3 linked regions of the Arabidopsis thaliana genome follow. The protein of the gene in region 3 purifies or fractionates together with the protein of the main gene of each other region. This does not show direct contact. Each region holds a gene or a part of one and is shown on either strand. Other genes may lie near its edges.

Region 1 (7,578 bases), on a different chromosome or scaffold from region 3:
ATTTATTTCACAAAGTGACTGCAAAAATGTATATATAAATGGTTAGTGCTATTACATAATGAAACACGTAAGACTTGTAAAACCTCAAATGTTTTAAAAGACCCTATACACTTTTGACAAAGAAAATAGGAAAAACAAAGACCCTAGAGACTTTTCAATTATGACTATAGAAGTTAACAAACCTAAGCAAAGTGTTTGGATATAAACATAGAGGTTAAAAAGGATTTAGATAATACTTAGAAAATGTAGTTTATTACTATCTTGTTGTAGAAGAAATCAGATATACCAGTACCACTAAAAGACATAAAACGACACTTAATTATTTAGATAATACTTAAAAAGAGAAGTACCTAATACAAGATCGTAGTTGAACATGAAACCAGTTGCAAATGACAAGAAGCAGTTATCTCAAAGTTCAAAGATCTGTTTTTCTCTCTGCCTTTTGTCTTTCAACAGAAACCAATAAAACCAACAACAAATTCCCACTAATTTTAAATGAAATAAAATCATGAAGCGTATTCAAAGGCTTGTGGAGGTTGTGGCTCATCATCTACGGCCATAGCTGAGGCCGGGGTTCCTTGTGCAGCCGCTGCTGTACCAGTTGCAGGAGAAGCTGTTGAAGTTGGTGCGTCGGTCAGAGAGAGAACCTCTGGCTCGTGTTCACGCAAGTCTTTGAGAAGAACGAAACCTGACGGTGCTAGCTTCACTGGTACATATCTGCTGTCATCAAGTAACTTTATGTATTTCTCTTGAGCTGGGACTACTCGAGCTGGGTTCACTAAAATCTCAAACGCTGGCTCAGGCTCAGGTGCTTTCTTCTCGACCGCTGCTGGGCTATCGACCTGACAGTTCGTGGAGACAAGACTATCAAATCACAGATGGTCCAAACACACAATAAACACCCAGATTAAACATTCCTTTAGAATTCACCAACTTTGAAATTCAAAATGTCTAACGTGTGTGATTGTAAAACAGAATAAACCTTAGAATTCTAGCGATTAAAGGACTAATCAGGTAATCAATAACAGAAGCTATTAGAAGAGGCTAGAAATGACAACATTACCTGCATAGAGTCTCCTTCCTTCTCAGTTGATGCTTTTCCTTTTCCAGATCCACTTTCATTGACAGGCTTTTCAGGGCCAGATGTTTTCTCAGCAATAGCTTTTTGCTCTGCTTCTTTCTTAGCCCTAGCTTTGGCTTTAACTGAAGTTGAGAGAACAGCGGTTGGAAGTTTAACGGCGGTATTGGCTGTAGGAACCGTGGTGGGTTTTGGGTACTCAAATAAAGACGGTTTTGCATGTGACATGAACTCAAACTTTGGGACCTTAAGGTCATAGTTCAAACCGATGAAAGCGGTTGGTGAGAAGGCCAAACTAATGAAATAGATCAGTGGGTACCAATACCAAAACTGGCTGAAGACTGCAAGGCCGATAACAGCAGTGACTTTGTCATGTTTGGTCTTAGAGAGCAGTCTTATAGTAACGTTCCTACCACCAGCATCAAGGATACCAGAGGCCAGAATCGCTCCCATCTTGCTCATTGTATCTTCGTGCTTGTCAAGTATAATCTTCTCAAGTTGGCGCCTACAAAACATAGAAAAATCTCAGTCTACCAAGATATTCTCTACCTCCCAATGCTGAAGAAACCAGATTTATACTAACCTAAATACTCCAACACGAGAATCGCTAGCTTCGCTAATTTGAACCATCACCATGGCCATTGCAATCAAAGCACCTTGACGAACAAAGTCAACAACATCTGATGTAAGTGGCTCCAACAAGGATATCGCTTCGCTGAGGCCAGTGCCTGCACAAGAAATACCCACTGCAAGAGCCGCACCATAGCGAACATGTGGATTGTATGACTCAGAAAGCAGTGATACAATACGGGGAGTCTACAATTTAGAAAAAAAAACATTGTAAACCGTTAGGGAATGTAAGCGCTCACAAAAGTACTGGAAGCGCTAAAGAAATGGAAGTCAGTGGTCACAGAAAAGGAGCATCAGAAACTGACCTGCTCTGGATCAGAGTACAAGACAAATCCAAGTGCCAGAACGGCAGTCCTCCTAACATCATCACTGACATCAGATACAGCAAAGTGCAGCAATTGTCGAATTGCCTTGTTGTTTGCGGTTCCACTGTAAGCCAATGCCAATGCGTACATGCCACCATAACGAATGATTGGATCCTGATCTCTCGTCATCTGCTCAATCAAGGTATCTGCTCCTTCTTCTCTACCATATACTGTAAGAGCTATTCCTAGAGCCAATCCCCTAAAAACGCATTCCGGATGTTGATTAGTGAAATACTAAAGCAAGACAAAATGCACCCCTCTTAACCAAAAATATCCTTACTGTACATTACCTTATTATCTTCTCATGTTGTGTCTCATGAGCATAAGCGAGCATCTCACTTGCCTTTTCAGTAGCAGTTCCAACCAATAATAAACCCATGCTGATGCCAGCAGCTTCACCAGCAACTGCACTGTCAGTATAAAGCACGCTTTTGACATCATCATATATCTCTTCATCAGCTGTCCCGAGAGCTGACAAGCCAAGACCTAAACAAGCTCCATGTTGAATGACCTGCATCCATATTTTTCCAATAAGTATTAATTAGGCTGCCAGGGAATATGAGAGACTATATTGAAGTAAGATATTAATTAATCACCTCAACATTAGTGCTGCGTAGGCTATCACGTAGAAATTGCTTGATTCCCTCGCCATGGTTAGCATGAATAAGGCCAAGAGCATATAAAGCACCTCCTTCGGAATAAGGACTCCCACCACCACCTGCTCCTCCCTGAGGCAAGTATGGAGCCATCAATGACCTACCCTGTTGCAGGTGACCTCTGTGAATAACACCTAATCCCGCGGTAGCACTGAACTTAGCCCAATTGGTTGCCCTGCTTAGCCAATCCTGGCATTAAAAAAAAAGAATGATGAAAGAAAGTTAAATACACTAAGCCACACAGACAGTTAAACTCAAACATACAGAAATATTTGAGTGAAAGTAAATAATTTACCAAATTCTCTCTAAGGAAAGTGTCCACTGTAGTTCCAGCATGCATAATGGCATTAGCATATATTGTAGCACTGTGGCATACACTGTTCCGCATCTCTACAGACTGTTTGATTGTCTTCAGTATCAGCAGGTCCGATCTACAGAAAGACAAAATTATCAATGGAGCAAATGATTACTTCCTGGAATAAACGATTTTTAGAAGAAAAAATATCCCTTGAAGATATCAAAACTGCAACAGTAACTTACTTGTTGTGGCTGTAAAGAAACTGCAGTGTCAGCTGAATAGATGTCTCTCCAGATAAAATTCCCTTAATCTTTGTTAACCTCTCAGCATATGTAGCATCAACTGGATCCGTCTCATGCACAATTGTCTGAGCTGGAGTTTCATCTGCCATCTGAACATCTCCCGAAGGGTTCTCATTAGGAGCAATAGTTGTTTCAACAGCCTGAGTTGCTTCTACAGCACGTGTTTTGGGAGCTGGAAGGCGATCTCTAACACTCAAGAGAAAGGCCTGGTGCTCGTTCTCTACAAGATCAAATGCAATTTGCAATGCCAATAAAGCATCATCCTTGTTCTCTGAGCGAAGAAGCTTCTCCAATATGCTTGCAACACCTTGCGGTTCATCCAAAAACATGAGGCATTGACAAATGCTCAAATAATCAGGAGAGGGCAGCTTCTGGTAGACTTTTACAAGTAAACTAAGCACCTGAAAGAGTAGACAAGTATGTCATCACCTTTTTTAAATAAAGACTAAACTAAACAGCCTAGACTAAAAGACCTAGAAAAGGGAGATTTTTTTAATTCAGGCCTTGACACATCTCAGATAGGTATCACGAAAACTGAAACAGGACTTTTGGCTACAGCTTAGGACATAGAGGATGCTAGCATACATGTTTGCAGGCATGGTAATGGAAGATGCAACATAGAAACTAAATGGTCACATTATCTTCCAGATGAGGCAAAACTATACAGTTCTAATCAGTCGATAGAATTAGAACACCTTTCTACTTAACTATTGTCTAAGAACATCAGTCTCACCTCATGTCTGTACTCTCTGCGGTTGACAAAGGAATGAGAAACATTGATGCAATATGATAAAGTTCCCTGAACATTATCGCTCTTAATGATAGCTTCTTCCAACTTATCCAATCTCCGGCATTCTATCGCAATGCCCATGGCTTGTTGATACTTCCCATCACTGATGCATCTGCAGAAGGAAAACCATGTAAGAAGAATTGAAGCACTATGAAAACAAGAGCATTAAATGTATAAGCATTGCATACTTTCCAAGCATTCTTTCAACAATCGCCTCTAGCCTGGGATCAATGTCCACCATCTCATTTGACTCAACTGCCTTTGATCTGAGACTGGCATATTCGTCTATTGCTTTGGCTGAAATTTTAAAAGAAGCATCTGATGAGTATACATTCATCCAGCATTTATTAAAACTCAAATAGTCAACTTATCTGTCTTTTTCTAGTATTATACTACTTAAAGGCAGAACAATATCTGGATGTACAAGCTTCAAGTCTACTTTTAAGATAATAAGTCGTGCAGGCTATATAGGCTTTTCTTGCCTTGAGAGTTGAGACAAGTTGATTTGGTAAGCAATTTGCATTAAACAGTTACCCTAGCTAGAGTCTACAGACAGAGAACAGCATGAAGAGAGTAAAAACATCAACAAACTTCTCAATCCTCACCCAGAAGCGTATGAACATAATCAGAATCCTCTGAAACATCAAATAAGGGACCGGCTCCTAGGGCATAAGACAGCGAATCATTAAGCTCGCCCAAGTAATAGAAAACCTGCGATAAAACAACCACGATCATCAAGAAACCCATATCTTGTAAAACAAACATATAACGTGATTAGAAAAAGGCTACGTCCCAAAATTCTACCACTATCCACCAGCTCTTAAGGAGAAAAATAACCATAATGTATTCAGAGCAACAATTAAACATTCCTCCACTAACATATAGCAAATATTATCCGCAACTAGACAAAACTTAAGTTTAACAATCGTGAAATCGCACCTTAGAGACCAGCAAAGCAGCAAGCTGTCTTTGATGCAGATCGAATTCTTCATCTTCATATAAACTCTCACTGTAAAAAAAAAAATTCTCTCGAGTCAAGCTGTCAAGTAGTGCAAATCATTAAAGAGAGATTATCATAAAACCCTAAGCATTGCGCCAGCACAGCCTCTACAACTGGAATCTATACCACTAGAATGTACGATGATAAACCAAAACGAATCCAAGCCTTTACATTACATGAGTAAAAGAACATAATCATGTCCAGGAAGAAGTTAGATACAATTACTCATTCATAATCTATAAAGATCACTACAGAACTTGCTAAAGCTAGTCATGTAAAATAAAAAACTTTACTTTTCTTATCCTACCCATTGAATCTGCATCGCCACAAACTATCAATCCCTCACTCAAAATTTTGAACTTTAATACCCAAATCGAGAAGACCTACACACAACCACAGCTCAAACAATCCAAATCCCACAATCTTCTCTAGAATATCCCGAATAAAAAAACAGATCAAGTGAGAGAACAAAACCCTAAATCTCAAACCGGAAAAAAAGGGTTTAAAAGAGAATTACATGATGGGGACACTAGTGGAGATCTCAGGCCAGAATTGGTCAACCAAATTGTTGAGGTTAGAGAGCGCATGAAGCTTCAAAACAGGATGAGGCTCGTTGAGCATTGCTAGTAATCCTCCAGCGGAACTAACCATGGGTGTCGCCATTGATGGAGAACACTAAATCGAAATCGAAATAAACCCTAAGAGAAAGCTAATCAGATGACGAAAGATTCGAACTTTCGATGAGACTCGTCTTGAATCTCTCTACTGGATTTGAAGAAGAGTGTTTTCCTTATTTATTTTAGTTTATAGGACGAAAGTAAAAATAAAAGGAGATTTGGGAGAAGATAGTAAGTCAGGGACTTGGATGCAAACTACGAATATTTAGAGACTTACCCAACAAGTCAGGATATTAAAAACTGCCCCGAATGTATAGCTTTATTATGATTTTAGTCTCAAGTTTTGTGTTATTGAGTTATGGATCCAATATATTTTGAAGATTTACAAAAACTCCTTATTGCTTTTACAAAATTGGTTGGTCATACAATTTTAAGTTTTAGGAGCTTTTAGGATACCCTAATTGCTAAATTATCATCATATCATATCAATAAAATGTGTTGCAATTCAGAACATAATACAAAGCTTTATAGAGATATGCAAGGCATCATAGAGAAATTAATAAACTTACAGTCGGTTAATCAAATTTTATAAACAAAATTATCATAAATCGATTCAGCTCATTACACGAAATGGTAAGCGTAAACTATGATGATGGTGTGGTCGACCATTAGCTCGATTATGTAACAAAGTCATCTAGTTATTTAGCTTATAAATCATTTCAAGATGTAATTCAAAAACATATGCATTCAATTTTTTTTTTAGTTATCTGTTTATCGTATCAGAAGTTCAATGAAAATAGTGTATGAACAAACAAACACGATTTTAGTTATTTATATTTATTGTTCATTTTAAAATTATATATATATTAGTTTTTTTTAATGTGTAAATTGTATTTAATATTTTCAAAGCAACAATTTTTAGTATTGAAAAAGATTTGGTGGTCCTAAAAGTATAACTTTTTCTTTTAATAACATTATTTGGTACTAAAAAACATAAAGAAAATGATGGTTCTAATCTTTTGGTTAACCTGCTTGTTTTTCTCTAGAGAACATGGCTAATGTATTTTTTTCATTGTCGATGGTTCAAATTTGAAACTTCTCAGACCTCTTTTCGTTTACAAGGTCAGAAATTCACCGGTCAATCTATTGATTTTGAATAATATGTACATTTTATATAAGCTTTAGAAAGAAAAAGATTTGTGTCCCTAATAAATAAGGTCAGTTGGTATGAAGCAGCGGCAATTTATTTTTCTTATGTAGTTGTATCTACTAATATAAAACTACATAAATATTACTTATGAGAAAAGAATTCATATGTACCATAATAAAATTTATTGCACATCATTCACCTACCGATCTTGAATGAAAAAGGCAGAATTAGAGCGCACAACCGCAACATTTGCACTGCCTACCTACCTACCCCATCCACTCAACCGGAAATAACAACTACTACCAAACCACTTAACCCATCGGTTCAACATTGGCACATATGTTTTCAAAATCGTACAGATGAATACCATAAGGCCAAAACAGTAGAGCAGCAATTAGGTACAGACTATGTGAGAACAAACTCAAAATCAATTTTCATTAAACCGGTTTTCAAAGCTTCCAAAACTCACCAACCGATTACTTTGAGAACGAACCAAATTAAACCGGAATTTAACTGATTCGTCAAATGGTCTTTAACTCAACAACTCTCTCTCACACTCTTGTATAAAGTTTTGAGCTTTAAGTCTCAGAGTCAGGTTTTGGTGGGTTAATTCTGGTAGACAAGAATCAAACAAACAATGGGAGACGAAGCAAAGATCTTCACTCTTTCAGAAGTTTCAGAGCATAATCAAG
Region 2 (4,679 bases), on a different chromosome or scaffold from region 3:
TGCAAATATGCTAATTCGAATTAACGCAAAGAGATTCCCAAAATAGCTCTAACCGATTCAATTTTCGATTTTGAAGCATTATTGAGAAATCGAATCACCAAAACCCCAACATTAGAAATCTAAAACCCAGAAACAACAATCAAAATCTATTGTTCCCAGAGAAGAAAGCTATGTTTTTGTAGAAGAAATCAGATCTGGATTATGTCAATCCAACAGCATCTACCGATGATCCCTAAAATCTATTCCCCAGAAGACAAAACATTTAGAGAGCGAGCAGCTTACGAAGCAGACAGATGAGCTGGAGTCTTTGAGACTTGACTGCTCTGTTTCAAAATCTCAAAATCGGAAAATTTTGATTGAAACGAAACGATGGTGATAATTGGGGTTTAATATGTTTTGACTATTTTACCCTTACACTTTTCATTTCAGAAGTTGACAATTTGGATTCATTCCACTATTTGAGATTTATGAGTTTTTCACACGTCTAATAACAAAAGTTGGACCATTTGTTATGCAAATAGGCTTAAGCCTTAAAGGCAACACTAACGATGAAACTCAACTTAATAGGATAGATTCATGTGTCTGTGGAGAACAAAGTTCAAAAGTATAACTGTAATACCTAAAAACTTAAAAGGAAGTTGCATTTAATCCTCAGAGAATGTTACAATCTGTAGCTTAAACGAACAGTGAAGGAAAAAAGAGGAAAGAAGAGTTTAAGCTGCAACAAGATCAGGTGTCTCGGCCTCAACAGATAACAATGTGGTGTGAACCTTATCGACCCAGCTGTCTAGCTGATCCCTCAATGACTTGATCTGCGGTATTCCTAACACCCTCGGTTGCGCCCATGAGACGTAAACTGTTCCATTCACCTGATCTAGTATTCCCTCTATCAAGTGCACCTGCAATAACTCATTCTCCTCAGTTTTCACAATCAACCAATACAGAATCACACATTCAAGAAGATTTCGAGTCTGCGTCTTGCCAATCTTCTTTAGATTTTTAATGTTACTGATAGAATGAGATAGAGAGAAAGAGAGAGGAAAGAAAAAGGTACTCACCGATAAGCTCTTCATGAGAAGGTGCTCAACATCTTCGATTGAAAGTTTAGTACGCTCGGCAATGACACTCAAAGGTATGGTCCTATCTTCAGCAGGTCGGCTGTGGCAAAGATGTTATATACAAGTTAAGTACTAAGTTTGTTTTCATCTGTATATGGGTATAAGATGACTCCTACAGAGAATGAATACCTGAAAATGATCTCAATAAGGCAGAGAATGTTGATCTTCTCTAATAGTTTCTTCTCATTCTCAACCAGTGCTGGTTGAGCACTCAACGATGCATTGTGCACACGACAGAGTTCTTGGTACTGAACTAAATCTCCGTGGTTGAATGCTTGTAGAATGTGGTAAAGCCATTCCACATTTGTTCCAAGCAGACTTTTCAACTGCCATAACATATATAACATGTCAGTGTTCTTTTATCTATAATGGTGAATAAATCTGTGGTTTGCTAATTTGGAGGATGAAGGGAAACTTACAATTGGATGGGCTAACAGTTCCCCAAAGTTATAGATATTCTCCCCAAGTAGAGCTGAAAGCGACAAATCAAAAGCCAAATCCTGAAAGAAACGAAAGTATATGATATTAACATTTTGATTGGAACACAAAGCAATTTACAGAGATAAAGCATTTTTCACTGTAAGTTTCCTTTCATAGAGTGCTAATACTTATCCAAAATTGCTAAAAGACCATTTGGTAACGTAACGACTACATATATCATATATGAATGATTAGAACATTCAGAGGGACGTACCAGCTTAAATGATTCCGAGAGTGAGTCCACAGACGTATAAGCGAGGTAAAGAAGAGCATTTTTATAGAACTCAGAGAACTCTTGACGGACTTTATGGTACTGAGAAGAGACCCAAAAGAAGTTGGCATAAACTGATGGATCAATGTCAGTCATACTATCAAGCAGGCTTTTTCCATCGTCCAAGATTTTCTTGCACTCCTTCTGGTCACCTTGCTCAAGCTTGAACAAAGCTATTTGTGTTTCTATATAGCTAATTGGTTCATTTATCCTTGACTCTTTAGTAGCTTTAAGCTTCTCAATCACTCCTTCAAGATAACTAACTGCAGCTTCTTTCTCAGGATACTGTCGGGAGACTACAACAGCGAAATGCGCAAGCTTCAGAAGATTGATCCTCGTCTCAAAGTCAGTGATGAAATTGTTGTAAAGCTGTATTAAAGCATCTCCAGCCTGCAAAGATTATGAACATAAACAGGGGGAAACACGTCATTAACAAATCTGTAAACCTTGTAAAGCTGAGTTTTTGGGTATCTCTGAGCTAAAATATTCGAAAGCTTTGGTCACAGAAGTGCGATAATTCACCAATACAAAGCTTTTCAATGAATCTGAAAAATCACCTAAGAGTCGGAACGAATCCTTCAGATCTCTCTATAAACCCAAGTCTAACATGACGACTCCTATTAACTTTCTCGAGATCTATGAACCCTAATCACACAGAAGAACTACGAAACGATGAAAATTCAAGAGATTGACCTGAAAGACAGAGAGAGCGATGAACTGCTCGAGCTTAAGAGTGAGCTGATGCCAGAGCTTCTTCTGGTACAGATCTGCGAGCGAATTGTACCACTCACCAAGCTCTGGGTGCGCATTTTTCTGCGATTCAAGGTATTGTAGAGCAGCCATGGTAGATTTTCGAAGAAACAGAAGGCAAAGCTTCGATCTTGTATCGGTTTGGGAGTAAGAAATCCAGAAAAACCCAGCCTTTTAGTAAACTATATTTCTTGAGCTCAAAGACAAGTATTGGGCGATAAATGCAATAGCCAACGATTAAAAGGACTTTTATGTAAATAAAATACTAAGGCTAAAATTACATTTTGGGCTCAGAAAGAATTTTTGTTTCCGTATTGGGTTACAATGCTTTATTCACTGAGAATCAAAGAATGTGTCTGTTTATTTCTTTTGATGCTACAAAACCAATGAATTGAGTTATGAAGGCTATATTAGTGGATCTCTCTGTCTGCTACTTATTACCAAACAAATGAAGAAAGAATCATAGTCTTGAAGAAACAGAGTTTGTAAGAATTCTCTTTAGTTCCTTTCTCAATATCTTCCCAGTTGGAGATTTTGGTATAGAGTTGACCATCACCACTTTCCTCACCTTCCTGTAGGGTGCAACCTAGAACACGTAATGTATAATAATGTATTACATTAATGATCAGTGTTTTGAAATGGGAAAAGCCATTTTGAATTAGTGGGAACCTAACCTGAGAAGCTACATAGCTTATTACATCTTCTTCTGAAAGTGTTGTTTCTTGTCTCCGGACAACGAATGCTACCGGAATCTCTCCACATTCTTCATTTGGGGCACTGAAATGGAAAGTTTGGATACTTTCAGTAGAGTAACAGACTCTGTCGAATTCTCCAAAACTGGATTTGCAGTATCTTTCACTTATTAAACTAGTTTAGTAAATGATCAAGATTTGTTTTTTCGAACTTACGCTGTTACTGCAGCGTCGATAATCAAGGGATGTGAAACAAGAACAGCCTCCAAATCTGCTGGAGCGATCTGCAAAAACCATAAATGCAAAGAATTAATATTTCCTAATTTAGAGTTGGCTGAAAGAGAAACTGCTGTTCCTTTACCTGAAAGCCTTTGTACTTTATAATCTCCTTAATACGGTCAACAATAAACAAGTAACCATCTTCATCAAAATAAGCAATATCCCCAGTACGTAGCCAACTATCTTCAACTATACTCATCTGAGTTGCTTTTGGGTTATTCAAGTATCCTGACAGACAAATGAACGGTGTTCAGATTCTCTCCAAGTAAAATTAAAACTGTTCCATAAAAATATGTAGCACAAAATCAAGAACAAGATAATAAGCCTAATCTATCAACACAAGCACCAAATAAGCCCCACGAAAGTTGGAAGATCCAATCTATATTTACATTTATTAGGATGCAAGTGTTTCTCAGTGATTTGAACCATTGACAAAAGACTTTATTCATGAACTGAGAAGGAAAATCTCAACTATTTTGGTAAAGAAGTACAGTAGGAAGAATCTATCTACCTTTCATGACACCGGGACCTTGTATCCAGAGCTCTCCTCGGTTTCCTGGTGGAAGGAAAGAACCAGAGCTCCAATCTACTACCTTGGCTTGCATATTAGGAGCCAGTAGTCCCACAGAAGAATACCTACTAAGCTTTTCCGAGTTGAAGCCCCGTGTTCCAACTGCAGTTGATTCAGTCATTCCATATCCCTGCAACAAAATGTGATCCATTTTATACACACTTTCAGCTAAATGTAAAGAAAATAATAGTGTGAGTCAAAAAGTCATGGCCTCGTTAAATCAATTTTAGTTGTTTCTTTTGGGAAGAGATGTCAAATTTTTCTAAAAAATGTAGATTCTACTTCTTATTGAGTTTATGAATGAATAACATTTAATTCAGTTTTCTAAAACGACATCCAAAAGTAAAATTCAGAGACCTGAATCAAATCGACATGAGGAAGAGTCTGAAGGAAATCTTCAATGAACTTCCTACTCAAAGGAGCTGCTCCAGAAGAAACTTGCTTCAAACTTTTAAACACTTCACCACAAACTCCTTTTGCCTTCTTTGTCAATGCCATCAACATAGGTGGAACAACCG
Region 3 (8,769 bases):
ATTATAACTAAGTTGCTAAAACCTTTTTCAGGATTGTGAAGCATGAACCCGAGTATTGGAAATATGTAGAGGAAGGTAACTTGTTATGGTTAAGCTTATTATAGTTTTGCCTAATTCTATTAGTTCTTATGATCCTGATGCAAATGATGATTTTCTTGTTTGGTTCTTTCGTTTGGTCTTAATTTATCTCAGGAGCCTGTTCAAATCAATTATGCACTTACTTTCTTACTGAAATTTAGAATGTTCATTAGATCTCAAAGAAACTTGTTGAACTCAGTTTGCTTCTTGTTCCATTAGGATAAACCTGAGAGAGACACTACTTTGCCAACCGAGATATGCCAGAAACTTGAAGACCATTTGAGCTAGTGAGATCAATTAGAGGACCAGATTCATCCAATCATTGATAAGTGCCAGTACCAACCTGATAAACGAGATACAGCAACATCTATGTCAGCCCACAAAGCACGATGAGTACTTGATCAGCCTCTTCCACATCCAGTTTCACGAACCCGGAAAATCTGCATCCCAAAACAAAATATCGGTGCATTCATGCATACATCCATACATGCATTCATGCATACATCCATACATGCATTCATGCATACATCCATACATGCATTCATGCATACATCCATACATCCATACATGCATTCATGCATACATCCATACATGCATACATTTTATACATTCATACATGCATACACATGCATATATATTTGCTTTCTTGATTTATTGATTAGGTCATTGCTTGCTACTTTAGTACATTTGTTAATAACTTGTTCTTGTTTGTTTCTTGTGCTTATCTCAGTTTGTAACGTGCTTGCTTGTTTCTTGCACTGATTGCTTACATGTTTAACTTGTTCACTTTATTCCTTCTTTGTTTCATTGATTATTTGATCGTTGCTTGACTTGTTTGTTTGTTTCCTTCTTGGTTCCTTGATTTACTTTACTTCATTGGGCAGCCTTCTTCTTGGATACTCGCTTACTTAGTTGTTTCAATCAATTTCTTTACACACTCGTTTGCTTGTTTCCTGATCCTCTGGTTTTTCTTTTTCTTTTTTACTTTCGTCGTCACTATTTCTTACATGAACTTCTCTACTTGTTTCGTTGTTTGCTTACGATTTTCATTTGGTTACTCGCTTTCTTTTGCTTTCTTTACTCCTTCCATAGTTCCATTGCTTGCTTAGACGTAATTGTTTAAGAAAAAATCTCCACAACATCCTCTTTGTTCTTGCAAACTCCATTACTTAATTCCGTTTATGCGTATCTTTTAAAATATCTACAACTCTTTAGCGAAATTTTATAATCCACACTATACAATTTAATTCGTTTTATATATGACATGTTTAGCAAAAAAAAATACCAATTGCTTTAATTTGTTTTTTATCCCCTTTTCCATTGGTTGATTATTATCTTTACAAAAAAAGATAAAATAATGTTTTGCTCTCACATGTTCACATGTGGATCGAAATATTAGTAAAAAAAAACTAATATGATAAGTATTATTTGACACATCTCATGATCTAAATTAAATTCCATTCCTTTTCATTTCCTTAATTCCACAATATGCAATTATATTTTTGTTTTTTCCCCCTTAATTGCTCTTGTTCTTTCAATTTTTTTTACATATTTTGCTCTAATATGTTCTAATAGCATTTCTGATTTTTTTCCTTCTTTAGAAAACTTTGACATATATAAATAATTAAACAATTATGAAATTGTCAAGCATCTCGAATAAAAATGGGGTAAAAAAACCTTTTCTAAAAGGGAAAAAACCCAAAAAAAATTTTAACTAATTTTTATTTGGACGTTTAATTCCCAATTTTGGGTTGGGAAAAAATAAAGTAATAAAAATGTGCAATTTAATACCCAAATAATTAAATGTTGTTATTTTCGATCCCACAACAAAAATAAAATTCCAATTTTACTTTACCATCTCAATTGATTATTAATCTTTAGATTATATGACATTAGTTTTATAATTTTGGATAAAAATAATTTTATTAACATATTTGTTTATGGTGTCTAGAAATTTAAAATTTTATTTTTATTATAATTATTCTATTTTAAAATTTAACATAAAAATTAATGAAAATCAAAAATATTTTAAATTGGCCGGTAAACAATTTGCGTTCGAATTTAAATCTTTCACGAATCAAACTATTTTTGACAAAATCTCAATCCGAATCTTATCGTCTTTTTCAATATTGACGGTTACTTTTTCACATTTCAAAATCTCAATATTAACGGTCCTTATAGACTTTTACCAAATCCACCATGTCCAATTTCATTGGTTGAGTCTAGAATATTTGAATCTCTTCTGGATTAGTTGCGCTTATTGCTTGTTTCTTTCTGATCAACTCGAACATGAATCATGACATTCCCGCACTCAAAAAGTGTTCGATGGAATGTCGGATCTACTAATTGCAGTGATACTCGTCTATATCCCAAGGCAATTGCCATTTAGAGCGTGTATTGGCTTTAACAAGTTGATTTGATATTGCCTGCTTAGTTAGAGATCGCTAATGGTGATTAGGTCAGTGTCTAGCTTTACTTGAGGATTTCTATCACGGTAGTGAATTAATCTGTTACTGAACTTGTTGTAGGGATAACTTATGTGAAGTTTTATCAACCATCTTAATAGATTAAGGAGATCACGCTATTCGATTACTTCATCCTTAGGAATCTTTTATCCATTTGATTGTCTGTTATCTCATCTGCTTTGTTATTCATCTACTTGCTATTGCCATTTCACATTTTAGTTTCATTTCATTTATGTTAATCGACATTAAGATTATTAGAAACTGACAACTCTCTGCTTGGCTTGACTTAGTAAATTCTGATTATATCTCATCTGTTTGCATCACACCAGATTGGATTGACAACCTTAAGTATTACAACGATATGATAGTGTTTTAGGAATTGATACCCTAAAAACCTATTATCACCAAGCTCGAAGACATCCCCGGGAGACACAAGCGTACGGTTGCTTTGTTGCCGCAACGTTTCAAAAGAAAACAACGTATTCGTATGACTTGAAGGTGAAGCAATCCAGCAGGGGAACCATGTGATAAGAGAGCACATGTGCGGGAGAAATATGCACGTGTGACGAGATGCTAGAAGAAAAAGAATAATATCTGCAATAGATGCAAGTGGGGATTGCTGCTTATATAGATGATCTCATTGTTTAGAGATTCTTTATGCTGATTGATGTAGAAGCTTCTGCGTGAGAATGGTAGATGATGAGCTAACCAAGATGATATGTTAGGCGTCTCCTTTGGTTTGTACATTGATCGGCGATAAGTTAATCAGAGTTTGGTGGCTTGATACTTATCACCATGTATACGTCGAATAGTTTTGGAAGATGATGAAAAAGATTAACTCCTGTGTATTCTGTAATCAGCAAGAACGAAGAACAGACCTGTAGTTACTATGATACATAAAAGTCAAATAGCAATTTATTCTACTTTGACTTTAAAACCATTCTGTTGGCAAGTAGTGGTGACTTAAAATTTTCATAACCTTGAATACTTTCAATGTTTTTGAACTAGCAATTCGAAAGAAACTCGAGATTGGTTATAATCTTCAGTGCCATACTCAATAAAAAAAACTAGCAATAATCCATAAGAAAGATGATTTATGGTTATCATTTGACCACATGAAGACAGCTACTCAAAAAAGTGTTTGGCTTTAAGTAAACATATGGTTTATAAGAGAAAGCATCATATCAGATTGGGCATTGATGATTAGGTATAACACAGAAAAGTCGTCATTCCAGCTTGACACGATCCATGTCGTTGATCACACCTTCAAGCTGCGCAATGGAGGAAAAAAAGAAAAAGACCCAAAAATCAAAACAAGAGTTGATGTGCACGAGTCTTAGTTTCAGTTTATACAACATACCTTGGCAATCTGCCGCAAGAAGAAATCACCATAACGTTTTGCGGGTTTTGATTCGACAACGTAGATCATGTCCTGCAGTGTCACCAGGTTTAGAGTTGTTACAAACGTTGTAAAAGCACCAGAGTATCGATATCAGAAAGACAGAGAGAGAAGAAAGAACATACGTTGTTGATGAAGAAATCAATGTCTGCATTGGAGATGATCCTACCATCGGAATCAACTGAATGGGTCTTGTGCTTGTATGTTAACAATATGGTCCTGCAAATTAAAACCCCGTACATGTCAAAGAAAAAGAGAGAAGTAGATTTGGTAATAATAGTTATAAGAATGCCCATAGTTAGTCCCTGACCTTAGAGTGGGCTCATCAACTTCCATGTAGTTTGCGAGCTTAGCAAGAGAAATGGAGGAGTAGACTTTCAGGAAAGTCCGCACTCCCGACAAGAGCTGCTGCTGCTTTACCTCGTAAAGGAACATCTTCAGCTGAAGCCTGTATGCATCCTGATTGTAATTGACAAGAGGTTCCTCGAAAGTTGGTGGTGCGGAAGGGGTGATAAACTTGGGGCATGCGTAAGAGAAGAGCTCATCATAAATACCAAAGGCCTCGTCGTCAGACCTCAGCATCCTCATCATCTTTTCACCATACTTGTCTCGCAGCTGAGAGTTGACAGACTCGTCAACGAGTTTAGTTTGAGGGCAGAGGGAGAGGGAGAGAGCAAGCAAAGCGTACATCTGCTCATTCTTCTTGAGTAATTGCTCGTACTGAGGTGACTTTTGATGGTACTGCTTAGTCTTGAAAATGTAGAGGAGAATCTTGTTGAACTCACGAACAGCATCGACATACCTCCGCAACATAAGGGTGGCAAATCCATAGTGGTAGATAGTAGCGATATGGCAACCAATGACACTGGTGTAAACACCTGGCTGAGTGATGTCAATGGGCTGCAACCATTTGAGAGCAGTGTGGTAGTCACCGAGGAGGCAGTGAACACGCAAGAGACCGACCATGCTGAAGTAACCGAGGACCTTCAAGACGTTGCTGCCACCGCTGAAATCGTAGCCATCAGTCTCAGTGAACTCAAGGCCATCCTTGTCATGCTCAAGGATCTGGATGATACAAGACTTCTCCACAAGTGCTTGCAAGAAGTTGAGCACGCCATAGACATTCCAGGCCTTATCGTGCTGTCTGAGCAATGCAATCTCCTCCTCTGTTTTGTTCTTGAGCTTTGCTCTGAATTGACAGAAACTTTGGAACTGGTAGACAAACTCATCCACCATATCCCACAACCACTGGTTCGGCAACTGCATATTCACTACGCCGTGCAACACAACCTAGAAAGAACAAACGGAAGAAGGTCTACTTACTTGTATTTATTCCCAGCCAATACATACACAAAAGAAATCAAAATCAACAACATCTCTATCTAACAAGGAAGAAGAAGTAGAAGAATTCCACAACAGACCTGAAAGAGGCTGCAATAGTTGTCATAAGAATCAATCCTCTGCTTCAACGTCGGAGACAACCTCGCATACAAATGTCGAAACCACATCTCACGGTACAGAAGACAGAACACATGGTCGTTGTCTACGTAAGGAGCAATCGCTTCCACACTTGGCCACGGCGTGTCCTTGAACAGACGCTCCGATATGCTCTGGAACGATGTCTCACACATCTGGTGGATCTCGTACACGTTCTTGTCCCTTATGTGTCTGTACATGTGTGACACGAACGATTTCACCGAATCCGGCACCATATTCGGGTCGTACCCACTCTCCCTCTCCCCTGGACCTTCCTCGTACTCATTGCTGCTCGCCATTCTCGCCGGATCAATTCTTAGCGGCCGCAACAATGTTAACTCTTCAACTCACTTCCACCGCCTAGGGTTTCCTTATTACCACCGGGTCTATCCTCCGGTTTGCTTTTACTACTAAATGAACGATTACCACCGGTTTGTTTATATCTCGATTTATTTTTCGGTTGTTTATCTATTTTACCGAATTAGACCAAAACTGAATCGAAATTAATTTTGTGTACTCTGACTCTCTCTCAAATCTCAATGTCTCAGCTTCTTCACCTTCACCGTCTCTCTCTTCCACAATCATCTCTTCGTTTCAGATTCCCGCCTTTACATCGCCGACGTGCAGCTTCGTCGCCAACTAACTCAACTCAACCCCCCCTGCAGTTTCGTCCTCTCACAGTCTCTAGATCTCAAATAACTTGCAGATTCAGCCAATCCGGTGAGACTTATCGTTTTTTCTTTCTTTTTTTCGATCTAATGAAACATTCCAAGTGATTGTATTAGATTCTTAGCAACATCTTCTTCATCTTCAACGAAATCATTGTAAGTTTTGCAGATATTACGCCACAATTTGAATTGGATAAAGCAAAAGACAATCGAAAACCACAAAAGCGAGCAAATGGCATATTTTGGATCATACTTATCAATCTGGGCATATATCTTGCTGATCACTTCTTTCAGGTATGAAAGCTTGTCTTTAGATATCAATCATCTACACTGTAAAACGTTATTCGTGTAATCCCATCTCTTTGGATTGTGACGTGCTTATCTTATCATACGTTTTATATTGTTTATTCGATTTAGGTTCGTGGGATCAAATCTTTGTATTTGTATCACAATTTTCCGGCATGGTATCAGTTTGTGACGGCTACATTCTGTCATGCTAACTGGTGAGAGAGCTCTCTTCTTTCTTTTTTACTTTGGCACTGTTCGTTTCATAATCGCTAGCGGCTGTGGCTGTGGCTGCGATTGCGATTGCGATTTTAAAATCGCAGGATGTTGTTCGTTTACCAATCGCTGCGATTAATCGCCATTTAAAAAGCCGCGTCGCTCTTTTTTCATGCGATCAAAAAATTCAGTCGCAAGCCGCAGCGATTGATCGCGCGATTAGTTGCAGGATCTTGCGACTGTCAAACGATCAACTTTCAGTCGCAGTCGCAGGCATCCTGTGACTACCAAACGAACAACACTTATGATAGTTTTTTTCTCTGTGGCTTATGTTGATGTTTCTCCTGATTCTTGGTTTTTTTTTTATGTATCATGTATGATTCTAGGAACCATCTCTCCAGCAATCTTTTTTTCTTGTACATATTTGGTGAGAGTTCAAGATTTTCTCATAGTTTGAATTTCTAGCTAGTTTATCGATTCAGAGAGCTAATGGACACATTTGGGAATCAGGAAAGCTTGTTGAAGAAGAAGAAGGAAACTTTGGTTTGTGGCTCTCCTACTTGTTCACTGGTGTTGGAGCTAACCTTGTTTCTTGGTTAGTTTTACCGAGAAATGCTGTTTCTGTTGGTGCCTCGGGAGCTGTTTTTGGGTTATTTGCTATCAGTGTCCTCGTCAAGGTACTGTAGTTTTCTTCTCTCCTTGTAAATCAAACTCCTCAGTAATATCTTGCTAATATTCAACTTCTTTTGATTGTCTAGATGTCTTGGGATTGGAGGAAAATCCTTGAAGTTCTTATATTGGGTCAGTTCGTTATTGAGAGGGTAAGATTTTCTCAAAATTTACTCACAGCATCACTACCGTTATAACCGTATTCCGGCTTACAGTCCCATCTTCTTATGAGTATAATGAGGTTTTTATACAATATATGAGAGAAAATGTCTGATGATGTATGCAATATAGAAGCTCTTCGAATTCAGGGACGATAACTGTTTAGTTAATTGATCTGAATAGGTAATGGAAGCAGCTCAGGCGTCGGCTGGATTATCAGGAACTATATATGGTGGATACTCTTTACAAACTGTTAATCACATTGCGCATCTCTCTGGTGCTCTTGTTGGGGTTGTTTTAGTTTGGCTTCTCAGCAAATTTCCTTCGGCATCTATGGATCAAGACGTTAAAAAGTCCTCGTAAAAATGACGAGACAAAACTTTTCGTGTAAGGAACATACTAGCTGTCCAGTGAATGCAAGGTAGATGAAACGATTGATAGATTGACAAAATATCCTTGTAAAAAAACTGAAGAACGGTCTCTAAACCGAGCCTTTGTGAGTAGTCTTTGCTATAGAATTCTGTCGCTAGTTTGTCTATGTTACTCTCATTGGTTTACCAATGCCACTAAGCATACGCAGAAGTAAGTGGATGTAGTTGTTGAGCTTACTTTTTGATTTCTATAATCTGTTAGATCTTACTTTTAATTAATAAAATCATTGTCTTAAAGCATACAACAACTTCAGTCAACGCATATTTTTGAAGAAGCAAGTCCAAGTCTGATCAAAGATTTGAGTTCTCAAATGTCTCAGCTTCACCTTCACCTTCAGCTTCACCGTCACTATCTCTCCCTCCCACATTCTTCTTCTCTTCGTTCCAGATTACCGTCATTACATCGCCGCAGTGTAGCTTCTTCGCCAACCAACTCTCCCCTCTATCTCAACTCAACTAACTCCACCGTCTTTCGTCCTCTCACCTTCGTCAGATCTCGTTCCAGCGAATCCGGTGAGATTTTTTAACCTCGAATTCGATTTTTCCATCATGTTTCCTTTACACTTGTAAAAGTCCAAGAAAATTTTCCAGACGTCACACCACAATTTGAATTGGATAAAGCACAAGACAAACAGAAACCACTAAACCAAGCAAATGGAATATTCTTGATCATACTTATCAATCTTGCCATATTTATAGCTCAACACTTCTATCAGGTACTTGTAGGATTTTTTTTCTTTTTTTAGTGTGAAGCATTGGTTTGTTAGGTGTTTTTCACATTGGTATCATACGTTTAGAAAAAAGTTATTTATTCGATATAGGTTCGCGGGATCAAATCGATGTATTTGTCTAGCGATTTTCCGGTATGGTACCAGTTTGTGACTGCAACATTCTGTCATGCTAACTGGTGAGAGCTCTCTGCT

The links. Proteins that work in one complex are often made in the same cells at the same time.
Region 1: the proteins of AT5G25754 (region 3) and AT2G32730 fractionate together in Arabidopsis thaliana (co-fractionation; one large-scale study listed by BioGRID). This does not show direct contact.
Region 2: the proteins of AT5G25754 (region 3) and AT4G19006 fractionate together in Arabidopsis thaliana (co-fractionation; one large-scale study listed by BioGRID). This does not show direct contact.

What each region holds. Positions count from the first base shown.
Region 1 is NC_003071.7:13,878,393-13,885,970, reverse strand, and holds AT2G32730 (26S proteasome regulatory complex, non-ATPase subcomplex, Rpn2/Psmd1 subunit), read right to left. Parts: upstream 6,013-7,578; 5' UTR 5,783-6,012; coding exon 5,637-5,782; intron 5,129-5,636; coding exon 5,059-5,128; intron 4,831-5,058; coding exon 4,725-4,830; intron 4,417-4,724; coding exon 4,308-4,416; intron 4,232-4,307; coding exon 4,063-4,231; intron 3,731-4,062; coding exon 3,270-3,730; intron 3,161-3,269; coding exon 3,025-3,160; intron 2,919-3,024; coding exon 2,670-2,918; intron 2,585-2,669; coding exon 2,364-2,584; intron 2,273-2,363; coding exon 2,014-2,272; intron 1,895-2,013; coding exon 1,662-1,894; intron 1,584-1,661; coding exon 1,064-1,583; intron 843-1,063; coding exon 507-842; 3' UTR 235-506; downstream 1-234. UniProt on the Arabidopsis thaliana protein: Acts as a regulatory subunit of the 26 proteasome which is involved in the ATP-dependent degradation of ubiquitinated proteins.
Region 2 is NC_003075.7:10,408,636-10,413,314, forward strand, and holds AT4G19006 (Proteasome component (PCI) domain protein), read right to left. Parts: upstream 2,833-4,679; 5' UTR 2,713-2,832; coding exon 2,563-2,712; intron 2,260-2,562; coding exon 1,813-2,259; intron 1,619-1,812; coding exon 1,538-1,618; intron 1,445-1,537; coding exon 1,248-1,444; intron 1,159-1,247; coding exon 714-1,158; 3' UTR 513-713; downstream 1-512. Other genes in the region: AT4G19010 (AMP-dependent synthetase and ligase family protein), read right to left, coding at 3,080-3,205, 3,294-3,396, 3,528-3,595, 3,673-3,818, 4,102-4,291, 4,519-4,679. UniProt on the Arabidopsis thaliana protein: Acts as a regulatory subunit of the 26S proteasome which is involved in the ATP-dependent degradation of ubiquitinated proteins.
Region 3 is NC_003076.8:8,950,512-8,959,280, reverse strand, and holds AT5G25754 (RNA polymerase I-associated factor PAF67), read right to left. Parts: upstream 5,907-8,769; 5' UTR 5,718-5,906; coding exon 5,364-5,717; intron 5,233-5,363; coding exon 4,253-5,232; intron 4,162-4,252; coding exon 4,068-4,161; intron 3,976-4,067; coding exon 3,904-3,975; intron 3,815-3,903; coding exon 3,770-3,814; 3' UTR 1,942-3,769; downstream 1-1,941. Other genes in the region: AT5G25750 (uncharacterized protein), read right to left, coding at 8,138-8,286, 8,331-8,397; AT5G25640 (Rhomboid-related intramembrane serine protease family protein), read left to right, coding at 8,158-8,359, 8,438-8,562, 8,668-8,753.